3 linked regions of the Schizosaccharomyces pombe genome follow. The protein of the gene in region 1 interacts with the protein of each later gene in a pairwise test. Each region holds a gene or a part of one and is shown in the gene's direction. Other genes may lie near its edges. The genes, in order: nap2, isu1 and utp21.

Region 1 (3,758 bases):
CCTCCGCCAATAATTGCAAAAATGCTTCAGGATTTTGCGTAATAGCTTGAGCCAATGCAGGATCTCCCTGCCCAATTTGTTGCAATATAGTTTCCAACATCTGTGGATTTTGTTGAACAATTTGTCTTAGCTGTTGAAATTGAGGAATGCTACGAAGGAAGCCTAGAGGGTCATCACCAACGGTATTAGAAGGTTGTTCTTGATTTTCATTTTCTGATAAAGCAGCTTGTTCAAAAAGATTCGCTGGCTGGCCAGTGGAAGTAGGAGCAAGGGCTTCGCTTTGCTGTTGCTGAGCAGCAAGGGCTGCAGCACTCTCTTCTCTCTGTCGATTGAGAATGTCTTCGGGAATACCAGTTAATAAGTATTCCACTGCCCGATCAGGGTTGTTAAAAGCGGCACGCATGGCTCTTTCAACTTCGCTGCGTTCGTATCCCATTTCTACCATATTTTCGACAGCAACATTTCGTTGAGCACCAACTGCCAATGTGTTGGCGTCTATTGGTGCTTCACTAGTGGCAGTAGTATCTGGGTTTGAAGGGGCAGCAGCAGCAACAGTTTGTGTAGTAGAGGTAGATTCCGCCACGGTAGAAGAAGGAGCTTCAACTTTCTTTTCAGGTACGGAAGCCGGAGGATTGGGGGCAGGACTGGCAGCTGATTTCGGAGTAGAGGTGGAAGTTTTGGGTCGTGAAACCATGCATACAATGAAATCCTGTTCTTTTATATTGTATTCGCCAACAGTTTTGTCATCAGCAAGGATTCGACCTATAAATTAGTATTTTACATATTAAAATTATGTTATATACCTGAGTAAATTAACTTTTGACGTTCGACTTCATAATTCTGTTGCGTTTGAATTTTTTCTTTTAATTCTGAAATCTGTTTACGTTAGAAAAATAATATGCCACAATTATCATACTTTGGTATCTGCAGAAACATCAGAAATAACAAATTTCTGCTGCTGTAGATTTTTGAATGTCAAATTCATTTTCAAAGCAAATTTGGCGTAGTGGGTAAATGTATAGTAATGAAAACCTCTTTGAAAAAACGTTGCATCAGAGAATAATTGTCAAGGTAGCAAACAAACACCATACACAAGTAACATTATTTGGTATCATCGCATTGTTTATCATAAAATGTGAATGAAAAATCTAAAAAGCAAAACAGTTTGGTTTATTTGAACCTAAAATTTAATGTAAGAAAATATTTCATTTGTTTGAAAGTGTTGTGAGTGAAACATTTACCTCGTTTCCAAGTCCATTAGTACTCAATACAGTGTATTAGTTTATTCTTTATTCTTTAATTTACTATATATATATATATTTTTCTGTTGGATTATTCATTCTCATTTTCTATTTATTTACAGAACGATCGCTAATAAATTTATATATATTAATTATGATTTGTTTATTTAAGTTAGCAATGACCGTTACAATAGCAGATTTTTATTTACAAGTTTGACTTTTGAATTATGTTCCGATAGTTTTTCGCTCCTCCGTGGGCAACTAACTAGTAAACAAATGCTACAATAAGGTTGTTTAACTCATGAATATAGAAGTATATGATACGTAGAGTTGTTTATTAATCAGTATCCATATATATATATTTTTTATAGAATTTTCAACTAATAATTGGGATACGATACATATGTTAAACTAATATGAATAGCGTAGACACTTTGCTTAAACGAGATATATACATTTGTTTATTTCATTGATTTTTTTTTTAGCTATTTGGACAGCTACATCAGAATTTGAAAGCAGCGCCTTTGGTTTATACAATCCATTACCTTTGTCAGAGAAAGTATAAGGAAAGCGGAGAGAAAAAAGTCAACGTATATGTAAACTTCCGGATGCTTTCTAATTTTACATATTCTTCCAAATAAAACCCCAAATACTATCCCAAACTATGATAGCCGCTAAACACATAAATATATTTCATTAAAGACTCTCATACGAAAAATGCTGTAAACATATCATTAAAATATGCTAAGCTGCAATAACGAGTCAGGCCCAACATCTCTTTGGTAGACTTCACGAAGATCCACAGTCCAACAACGAAGCTTTACCAATTTAATTTAATCTCCGTTTGCATTATTAAAATATGTCTAAAGGTCCAGGAGATTTTAAGAAGTCTTGGAATGGGTTTGCTGCTCAAACGCCACAAAATACTCCATCTTCAGATGTACATCTTAGTAAGGCCGCATTAGAAAAAGCTAGACAAACCTTGCAATCACAACTGGAGGACAAATCAGCACATGATGAAGTTAGCGGGTTATTGCGCAACAATCCGGCCATGTTATCAATGATTGAGGGACGCCTTAGCTCGTTGGTTGGAAAGTCGTCGGGATATATAGAGAGCCTTGCGCCAGCAGTCCAAAATCGTATTACAGCATTGAAAGGCCTTCAAAAAGATTGTGATGCAATTCAATATGAATTTCGTCAAAAAATGTTAGATCTGGAAACAAAATACGAGAAAAAATATCAACCTATTTTCTCTAGAAGAGCCGAAATTATCAAGGGTGTTTCTGAACCAGTGGACGACGAATTAGATCACGAGGAAGAAATATTTCAAAATAATCTTCCAGATCCTAAGGGAATTCCCGAATTTTGGCTGACTTGTCTTCATAATGTTTTCTTGGTTGGCGAAATGATAACACCAGAAGATGAAAATGTCTTGCGATCACTCAGCGACATTCGTTTTACCAACCTTTCGGGAGATGTTCATGGTTACAAACTAGAATTCGAATTTGACTCAAATGATTACTTTACAAACAAGATTTTAACGAAAACTTATTACTATAAAGATGATTTAAGTCCTTCGGGTGAGTTTTTGTATGATCATGCTGAGGGTGATAAGATTAATTGGATCAAGCCTGAAAAAAATTTAACGGTTAGAGTGGAGACAAAAAAACAACGTAACCGTAAAACAAATCAAACTAGATTGGTCCGTACTACGGTCCCTAATGACAGTTTTTTCAACTTTTTCTCACCTCCTCAGTTGGACGATGATGAATCTGATGATGGTTTGGATGACAAAACAGAGCTTTTAGAACTCGACTATCAATTGGGAGAAGTCTTTAAAGATCAAATCATACCCTTGGCAATTGACTGTTTCTTAGAAGAAGGTGACTTGAGCGATTTTAACCAAATGGATGAAGAAGACTCTGAAGACGCATATACTGATGAGGAGGATCTGTCTTCAGATGACGAAGAAATTTTGAGTAGCGAAATTAGTGATTGATATTTATATTGTGTTCGTTAGATTATGAGTAAGTTCAATGTGAGCAAAAATGAGAAATTGACGCTGAATGATAATTTCGCTTATAGTTTGGTAAGTTTATTGTGGCTTAAAAAATTAAAATGTTGATTTACGTCGTAGTATCCTATAAAATATTTAATAAGCGGATCTAAGTTAGGATTTGTCTTTAAAATTTCAATTTGTTTTCTTGTCTTTTTAAATTTTGAATTTTTTTTTCCAATGCAGGTATAAAAAATATACTAAGTAATTTTTTATCATTCTGTGAGTATATTCTACTTACATGGTTCCTTTTTTAATAGCTAGTATTAGGTTAGTACGCGCATTATTTGAAGCTGTGGTGTTATTTATTAGCATTTGCTTTTCTAAAATGATAATGCGGACAGCCAGCAAAAAGTAAGCGGCTATTACTATAACTATCTGCAATAGCTTTTTCTATTTATTTTATACGTCAAAGCTAGATCTGTTCGTACATTAATTAACAATCTTTAAGTGCATTGTTA
Region 2 (3,758 bases), on another chromosome or scaffold:
ATGAAATAATCAAACAATAAAGTTAAATATGAGTTTTGCAATAAAAGAGAGGGAATTAAAAGAAAAAAAAAACAATAAATTTCAATTATACAGCTAATCTATGATAACACGATTAGCATCAAATATCTCTCATACCAAACTAGATGTTTATTATAATTGATCTTCTGTTTACCAGTACGTTGTAAAGGTAAACACTCACTTACAAATGATTAATTCCCGATTTGAAGATAAATTCACAATAACTTTTGATGGAGAGAAGACAAGTGTGGGGATCTCATGCTCAAAGCCGAATCCCTTTTAAGTTTCGAAATTCCAAGCATGAGTCCAATTCGCACAATACGCAAAGTTGCGTTTGCTTCGCTTTACAAGCTGGATAGAACGATTTCTAAGCTACTAAATTATAGCGCAGCAAAGGATAAATCCGTAGGAGTCTGTTATTTTTAAAAAATGCAATACAACTTCAGCATCCTCAACATATATTGCAATGTAACGTTAATATGCACAATCAAAAATTTACCAATTTGAATGAATAGCATTGCACTACGTTACATTCAACGTTCTTGAGTTCTGTTGCTATACACTCCAAGACACTTGTGGAGCATGTGAGATATAAAATTAAGAGAAGTCTCAGATACCACTGATTCAATTTCGAAATACCGATATTTACATTAAATAATAAAAACAAAATTTAAAAAATAGTTATAATTTCTCATATTTATCACACTCCTCAATTGCTTGGAGGCCCATTACTTTATTGCAATCTCCAACGGCCTTCCTATCTTAATTAAGGATGACGGGCGCAGTAATGTTATATCGCTAATTTACTGAATGCTGTAAAAAACTAGTCATCCTTTAAAAAAACCGTTAGACCGCTAAACTGTTATTGGTGAAATAGACTGTTTCGAATATTACTTTGTTACACATCAAATGTATAGTGCCTTTTTGCAACCTGTTCCTTTTTTTTTCGCCCAGCTCCGTTATTCCGTGATGCGGAACCCTAGTTCCAGCAACTATGGACTCGCTCTTGCCTATTGGAAAGTATGATCGTAGGTTAGCGGCCTTGGCAATGTTATCGGGATCGATTGTTGCAAAAAAACATACGCAGTGCAAGAGGTGCATTAAAAAAAATAAAAAAAATAAAAACGGCTTAACCATTTCTTATACAAACTTCTCTTTTTGAAAGATTATCCTTACACCTTTTTTATTTACATGTATAATCCAAACCAGCAACTAATTACATATCGAAATAAATGCAAAACAGATAAACAAATGGAAACCAAAAAACCGTTCAAGCATGTATCCCAGCTTCTAGTCGTGCATCCACCAACTTTTCATCATCATTTTTGTTAAACATACAAGCACCCTACCCGTTCTCTGCCGTCTGTCTCATGCCGTCCCTTCCACCTGTACTCCCTAACTGACTACTTTCTTTCTCGCTAACTACTTCTTGCCTGCTATCTGATATTCCTTCCTCAGTTAAAGGGGGACGGCATCTTCTTTCCAATTTCCATATCCCACATCCCACAACCTTGTTTCGAATATACTGTGAACACATATCCTTCACCATCGAACACTGGAATTTCCATATTGTGTATGGAAAACAACTTTATTTGTCTAGCTGTACATCATACTTGCATAAGCTTCAGACTGCTTTGTTGTGGCCTCCCCAAAACTTTTTCTTCGTAAATCTAGTAATACCGGATTACGTTTTAGTCCCTTAATTGGCGTTTACTGCTGAAACCGCATTTCCGATTCGCTTGCCACTATTGCCTTCCCTATTTTATTCGCTACCATCCACCTTAAGCTAGCTTTGTGATTTGTTAGGGAAAAACAGTCACATTTTCGACAAACAGAATTTCTTCTCATATCAGATGAGATAAAGATGGCCGAAAACACTCAAGACTGACTTGCACTATATATAGCAGGCACTGCTCTCAAACACTACTGACTCATACAACTCACCAACATTTAATATTGGACGTTTTGAACATAAATTTAAAGTTGTTTTGAAAAATAATTTCATTGAATAAAGCAATTCGTTTTGTGTGCTATAAGACTACATAACTCTGACACGATTTTTTTCAACCACGTCTTGATTGTTTATTGTCGATACATAGTTGAATCGATTTTTCCTTTCATCGAGTGTACATAGTTATTGTCATCTTATTAACCCGGTTTACAAATTTCCTTGCGTTACCCTTACACACTTTTTAACGTCATTTACGTATAAGGAGATTTAAAGGCAAAGCTGTTATTTTTTTTTATATAGATCAGATAAAATCTGAAACTTTGAAAACTCCCTGCCATCCCCCAAAAACACTGAAAACGTACTCAAGCCTTTTACTTGATACGTTTTGAAAACAAATCTAGTTGGATTTGTGATACAGATATTTTGTTAGATCTTGACGTGATTTGTCATCTGATTTTTTTCTTTTTTCTTTTGTTTTCCCTAAAATGAGTGTCTTCCGTCGCTCCGTTCAATGCGTTGGCGTTTTGCCTTCAATTTTGGCTCAACGCTCTTCTCTTCTTGCCCGTCCAGCGAATTTACAGTTTCTCAAAACGAACTCGTCAAAATTCGTCCCTCAAGTCACCGCAAACGTCTCTCGTCGTATGTACCATAAGAATGTTTTAGACCATTACAACAATCCTCGGAATGTGGGTACTTTGCCCAAAGGTGATCCCGATGTGGGTATCGGCTTGGTAGGTGCTCCCGCCTGTGGCGATGTTATGCGCCTTGCTATTCGTGTCAATAAGGATGGTGTTATTGAGGACGTAAAGTTCAAGACCTTTGGTTGTGGTAGTGCAATTGCCTCGTCATCCTACGTTACCACTATGGTCAAGGGCATGACCCTTGAGGAGGCTTCTAAAATTAAAAACACCCAAATTGCCAAAGAGCTTTGCTTGCCTCCTGTAAAACTTCATTGCTCCATGCTTGCCGAGGATGCCATTAAAAGCGCTGTAAAGCATTATCGCTCTAAACAATTAACGCCTGTTGGTACAACTGCTGGCGCTATTGAGTCTGCTACCGCTTAGAAACTTGATTGTAAAGTCATAGCTTTCATCTGTTTAAAAATCTGCTAATTTCCGCTCCGCTTTTTGACCCCGCCTCCTAATTTTCTACCCGGTCCTTTTAATTCCTAAACTGCGTACATGTAAACAGTGTTTTCCACATAAGATTGCTTGTCGACTTTGGCGTAAACATATGGTCTATGTGTTTGCTTGCATTCTTCCTCCCATTTAGCAATATATATTGATTAATGTTTCTGCACTATATGTATCTGGACTAAATTGATGCAAGTGCTTTCTTTCAAAATGCTGCTGATGCTTATTTGCTTGTTATTGTGGTTATAAAAATCATTACTCTGTACATTTTCCCCTTCCTTTTTTTTTAGTTCCTGCTATAGCATTTTATTCGAATCTTTATACGTCTAATGAAAAATAATTTAGAGTCTTTTATTTCTAAACTATAAGCTGTTTCTGTGTTTGCTTAAACTTTAGTAGTATACATGAATATCATCTTCTAGCTATTAAACCATGTAATATAAATGTTCATATATATTCATTGTTTCGTTGCCCATCACGCAAATAGTCAGAAAGGACTGTCTTGCCTATATTAAACTCATTACCAAAACCGTTTGCCACACCCAAATTTAAGGGTACCATAACTTGATTGTACGATCGTATCCTGATGAGATAAATCTGTCTCCGTAACCGTCAACACTCATAACCTTTTCTTCGTGTCCCACCATACTTTTAAT
Region 3 (3,758 bases), on another chromosome or scaffold:
GATATCTTAGAGGCCATATTTTTTTCTTCCTCTGAAAGATTGGTGATAAACCTAATTTCCTTACCATGTGGATTCCTTCTCACAATTCCGTCCACTACGGGTGATTTGCGGGTTTCTGCATGGCTGTAATGAGGACCCACGGTATAAACCTTTACGTCTTCCGCGTTATCGACATTCATGAATTCCTCGTAAATAAAAGATCCTTCAGTGCGTGGAGCACAAAGATCTGGATCATAATCTGAAGACTTATTTGCGACTTTACGAAATAATTTGCGACCTCCCCCACCAACGGATTTAGGGAAATAAATATAAATATTGTGATCTTCACCATAGACTGGTTTTTCAACGTACGGCTTCTTTATTATCTTGCCATCAACAGAAAGAGTATCTTCGTCCAACATTTTTACTTCTGGGGTAGGAACCTCTGTGATTTCTATTCCAAACTTTCGACGCAACTTTTCTTCTAGGACTTTATTAATTTTAGGACCTCCATCACGAGAGCAAATCAAACGCTGAGGGGTGGAAACACGTATGGCATCAAGGATGTTCAACACAAGCCGTCTATCCCAAAGCAACTCTTGGAATACTACATCGTTTACACAAAAAGGTTTACGCAACTCGACATACTTTTCAGCTTTCTTCAATGGAAATCCACTAGAGTAGAAACATATCAAATAATCACAAGCAGGCCAATTTTCCACAGCTTCGTCCAAAATCATGTTGTCACCGAATACTATGGCTTCAAACTCACCTTCTGCGATGATTCTGTTCAGAATATTCCGACATGGTTTTGAGCGAGCTTTGGCATCCATGGCACAGATTCCAACTACATTTCGTTTAGTAGGTGTAACGATTGAGGAAACAGGCGACGCCGTTCTGGTAGATGACTCTGTGTCGATAGATGTAAGATGACTTGCATTTTGAATCATCCTTTATTATTCAACTACGTTAAAATATTTAATAACGCTTAAAACACCTTTTTCCCACTTGTATTCTTTCAATGGCCAATTCCCTCACTTGTTTGGTTATGAGAGATGTAGGTACACGGTGTTAGTACACACCTAGTCGATCAATGTTACTTGTACGGTTAACCTTACAATTCAGCGAGGTAACATTTGTTTACCTAACGAAATGTAAATAAATAAGAAATTGTTGCTTAAATGAAGTGGACAGTGAATATTGAATTTGTTTCGCAGTAATGCTTCTATGAATAACTTTTTTACTAATTATACTGGGTTAGTTAATTTGGGTTTTCATAAAAATTTTTTTAACCAAGCCCAGTTTCTGTTATTCTTCTTTCAAAAACGTATTCTTCCAGTTTAGTAAAAGCTTGTAAAATCCATCAATATTAAATTAAAAAAGAATTAGAAAAAATTTTTGTTTAATAGGTTTTTACTTTTCGTCCGTGCGAAAACACGTGGACTGGAATGTTTAAATTTTACAAGCAACAAACATTAAAAAATTACTTCTACTAGCTGGGTTCAAGAGTATATTGTTCTCGCACCTTTTACATAAAGAAAAATATTTTTTAAGAATTTACTGAAATTTATTTCATTATTTACAAGCCCAGAATTCCAACAATCATAGATTTACCTTACCACTTTTTGATATATGTGAATAGAGTTCTTTAGGTATTCTGAAGAGAATGTAGAAGTTTTGCTAACATGTTTTTACGATTAAATCTTACAATAACATTAGACATCAATGTTTAGTTCTCTTTTTTTTTTAATAATAAATAATTTGTTTACTTAAATAAACGGAACAATAGCAGAACGATTCTTATTTATAATTACCGAAAATTGATATATGACGGATTGACCATATCGTTAAACACATTTATCGATTTCAGTAAATACACTGTCGTAAATTAACGATTATTACTGTAGGTCGTAAAGGGTTGCTAGAATTTCACAAACACTGCTTTTTGCAAGTTACAGGACAAGAGCCATCCTTTGCCATTTTACGTGCTATTTGTGTTCTTTCCTGTGATAAAATGCCATTTGCAGAGAAGAAACGGAGGACTTATGAAAATGCGGTGAAGCCTCTAAGAAAATCTAGGATCTATGCTCGTAAGTCAAAATTCTCTCTTTTTCTTTTGGAATGAACAGATTGCTAACTGTATTTTTAGCCTTTAGATCCATCGGTCACGTTTCCAATGCAGTACCTTTCGACATTGAGGCTCGTGGAACCCATTTTTTGGTAACAACGTCGGTGGGAAACACATTTCAAACATATGACTGCGAAAAGTTGAATTTGCTTTTCGTTGGCAAGCAATTAGACAAGGAAATTACTTGTTTAAAATCCTTTAAAGATTTCATGCTTGTAGCTGCCGGATCAAAAATTTTTGCATATAAACGTGGTAAAATAATATGGGACATTGATGTGGAGCAAGAACATGGAACAGTCACTCATTTAGATGCTTTTGGTGAGTGGATTATTGCTTGTACATCTTCTCGTCATGTTTATGTATGGAAACACGCTTCTAAATATAGTGTTCCTGAGCTTCATACTACATTTCTTCCTAATACCAATGCAGATATCACTAGTTTACTACATCCAAGCACTTATTTGAACAAAATACTGCTAGGATTCTCAGATGGAGCATTACAGATTTGGAATTTGCGTGTTTCTAAACGTGTACATGAATTTCAGGAATTTTTTGGTGATGGAATCACTAGTTTAACACAAGCCCCTGTCCTCGATGTTTTAGCTGTTGGTACTATTAGTGGTCGTATTGTAATCTTTAATCTTAAAAATGGTTCAATACTCATGGAATTCAAACAAGATGGCCAAGTTCTTTCATGTTCATTCCGTACTGATGGGACACCAATATTAGCTTCTTCCAACCCCATTGGTGACCTTTCTTTTTGGGATCTTTCAAAGCGAAGAATTCAAAATGTTACATATAATGCTCATTTTGGGTCACTTCCAAAGATACAGTTTCTTAACGGGCAGCCCATATTAGTAACTGCTGGTCCAGATAACTCTCTTAAAGAATGGATCTTTGATTCAATGGATGGTGCTCCTAGAATCCTACGTTCTCGTAATGGTCATTACGAGCCACCTTCATTTGTTAAGTTTTATGGGAAAAGTGTGCACTTCTTGATTTCGGCTGCAACTGATCGGTCATTAAGAGCAGTTAGTTTATACCAAGACTCACAATCAACCGAACTATCTCAAGGCTCTGTTATTTCAAAGGCAAAGAAACTTAATGTTCGCCCGGAAGAATTAAAATTACCCGAGATAACTGCCCTATCTTCTTCAAATACTCGTGAAAAATATTGGGATAATGTTCTAACTGCCCACAAAAATGATAGTTCTGCTCGCACTTGGAACTGGAAATCTAAAACATTGGGTCAACACGTTTTACCAACTAGTGACGGTACGTCAGTACGGTCTGTTTGTGTAAGTTGTTGTGGTAATTTTGGTTTGATTGGTAGCTCTAAAGGCGTTGTAGATGTTTATAACATGCAAAGTGGTATCAAAAGGAAATCATTTGGACAAAGCTCTCTATCAGGCAAACCAGTCACTGCAGTTATGTTGGACAATGTAAATCGCATTCTTGTAACTGCATCGCTGGACGGGATTTTAAAATTTTGGGATTTCAACAAAGGAAACTTAATAGATTCATTAGACGTTGGAAGTTCCATTACTCATGCGATTTATCAACATTCATCAGACCTCGTTGCTGTCGCTTGTGACGATTTCGGCATTCGCATTGTTGACGTACAAACAAGGAAGATTGTTCGTGAATTATG

The links.
Region 2: the proteins of nap2 (region 1) and isu1 interact in a two-hybrid assay, tested with the Schizosaccharomyces pombe proteins (2 studies listed by BioGRID).
Region 3: the proteins of nap2 (region 1) and utp21 interact in a two-hybrid assay, tested with the Schizosaccharomyces pombe proteins (2 studies listed by BioGRID).

The regions. Positions count from the first base shown.
Region 1 is NC_003423.3:2,984,191-2,987,948, reverse strand, and holds nap2 (nucleosome assembly protein Nap2), read left to right. Parts: upstream 1-2,049; 5' UTR 2,050-2,100; coding exon 2,101-3,240; 3' UTR 3,241-3,442; downstream 3,443-3,758. Other genes in the region: UV excision repair protein rhp23, read right to left, coding at 1-762, 804-876, 917-985.
Region 2 is NC_003424.3:517,140-520,897, reverse strand, and holds isu1 (Fe-sulfur cluster assembly protein Isu1), read left to right. Parts: upstream 1-1,946; 5' UTR 1,947-2,454; coding exon 2,455-3,033; 3' UTR 3,034-3,482; downstream 3,483-3,758. Other genes in the region: rna4 (Prp4 family U4/U5/U6 small nuclear ribonucleoprotein complex subunit), read right to left, coding at 3,651-3,758. UniProt on the Schizosaccharomyces pombe protein: Scaffold protein for the de novo synthesis of iron-sulfur (Fe-S) clusters within mitochondria, which is required for maturation of both mitochondrial and cytoplasmic [2Fe-2S] and [4Fe-4S] proteins.
Region 3 is NC_003421.2:573,544-577,301, forward strand, and holds the start of utp21 (U3 snoRNP-associated protein Utp21), read left to right. Parts: upstream 1-1,940; 5' UTR 1,941-1,993; coding exon 1,994-2,069; exon of another isoform or gene 2,070-2,128; coding exon 2,129-3,758. Other genes in the region: asp1 (inositol hexakisphosphate kinase/inositol pyrophosphate synthase), read right to left, coding at 1-929.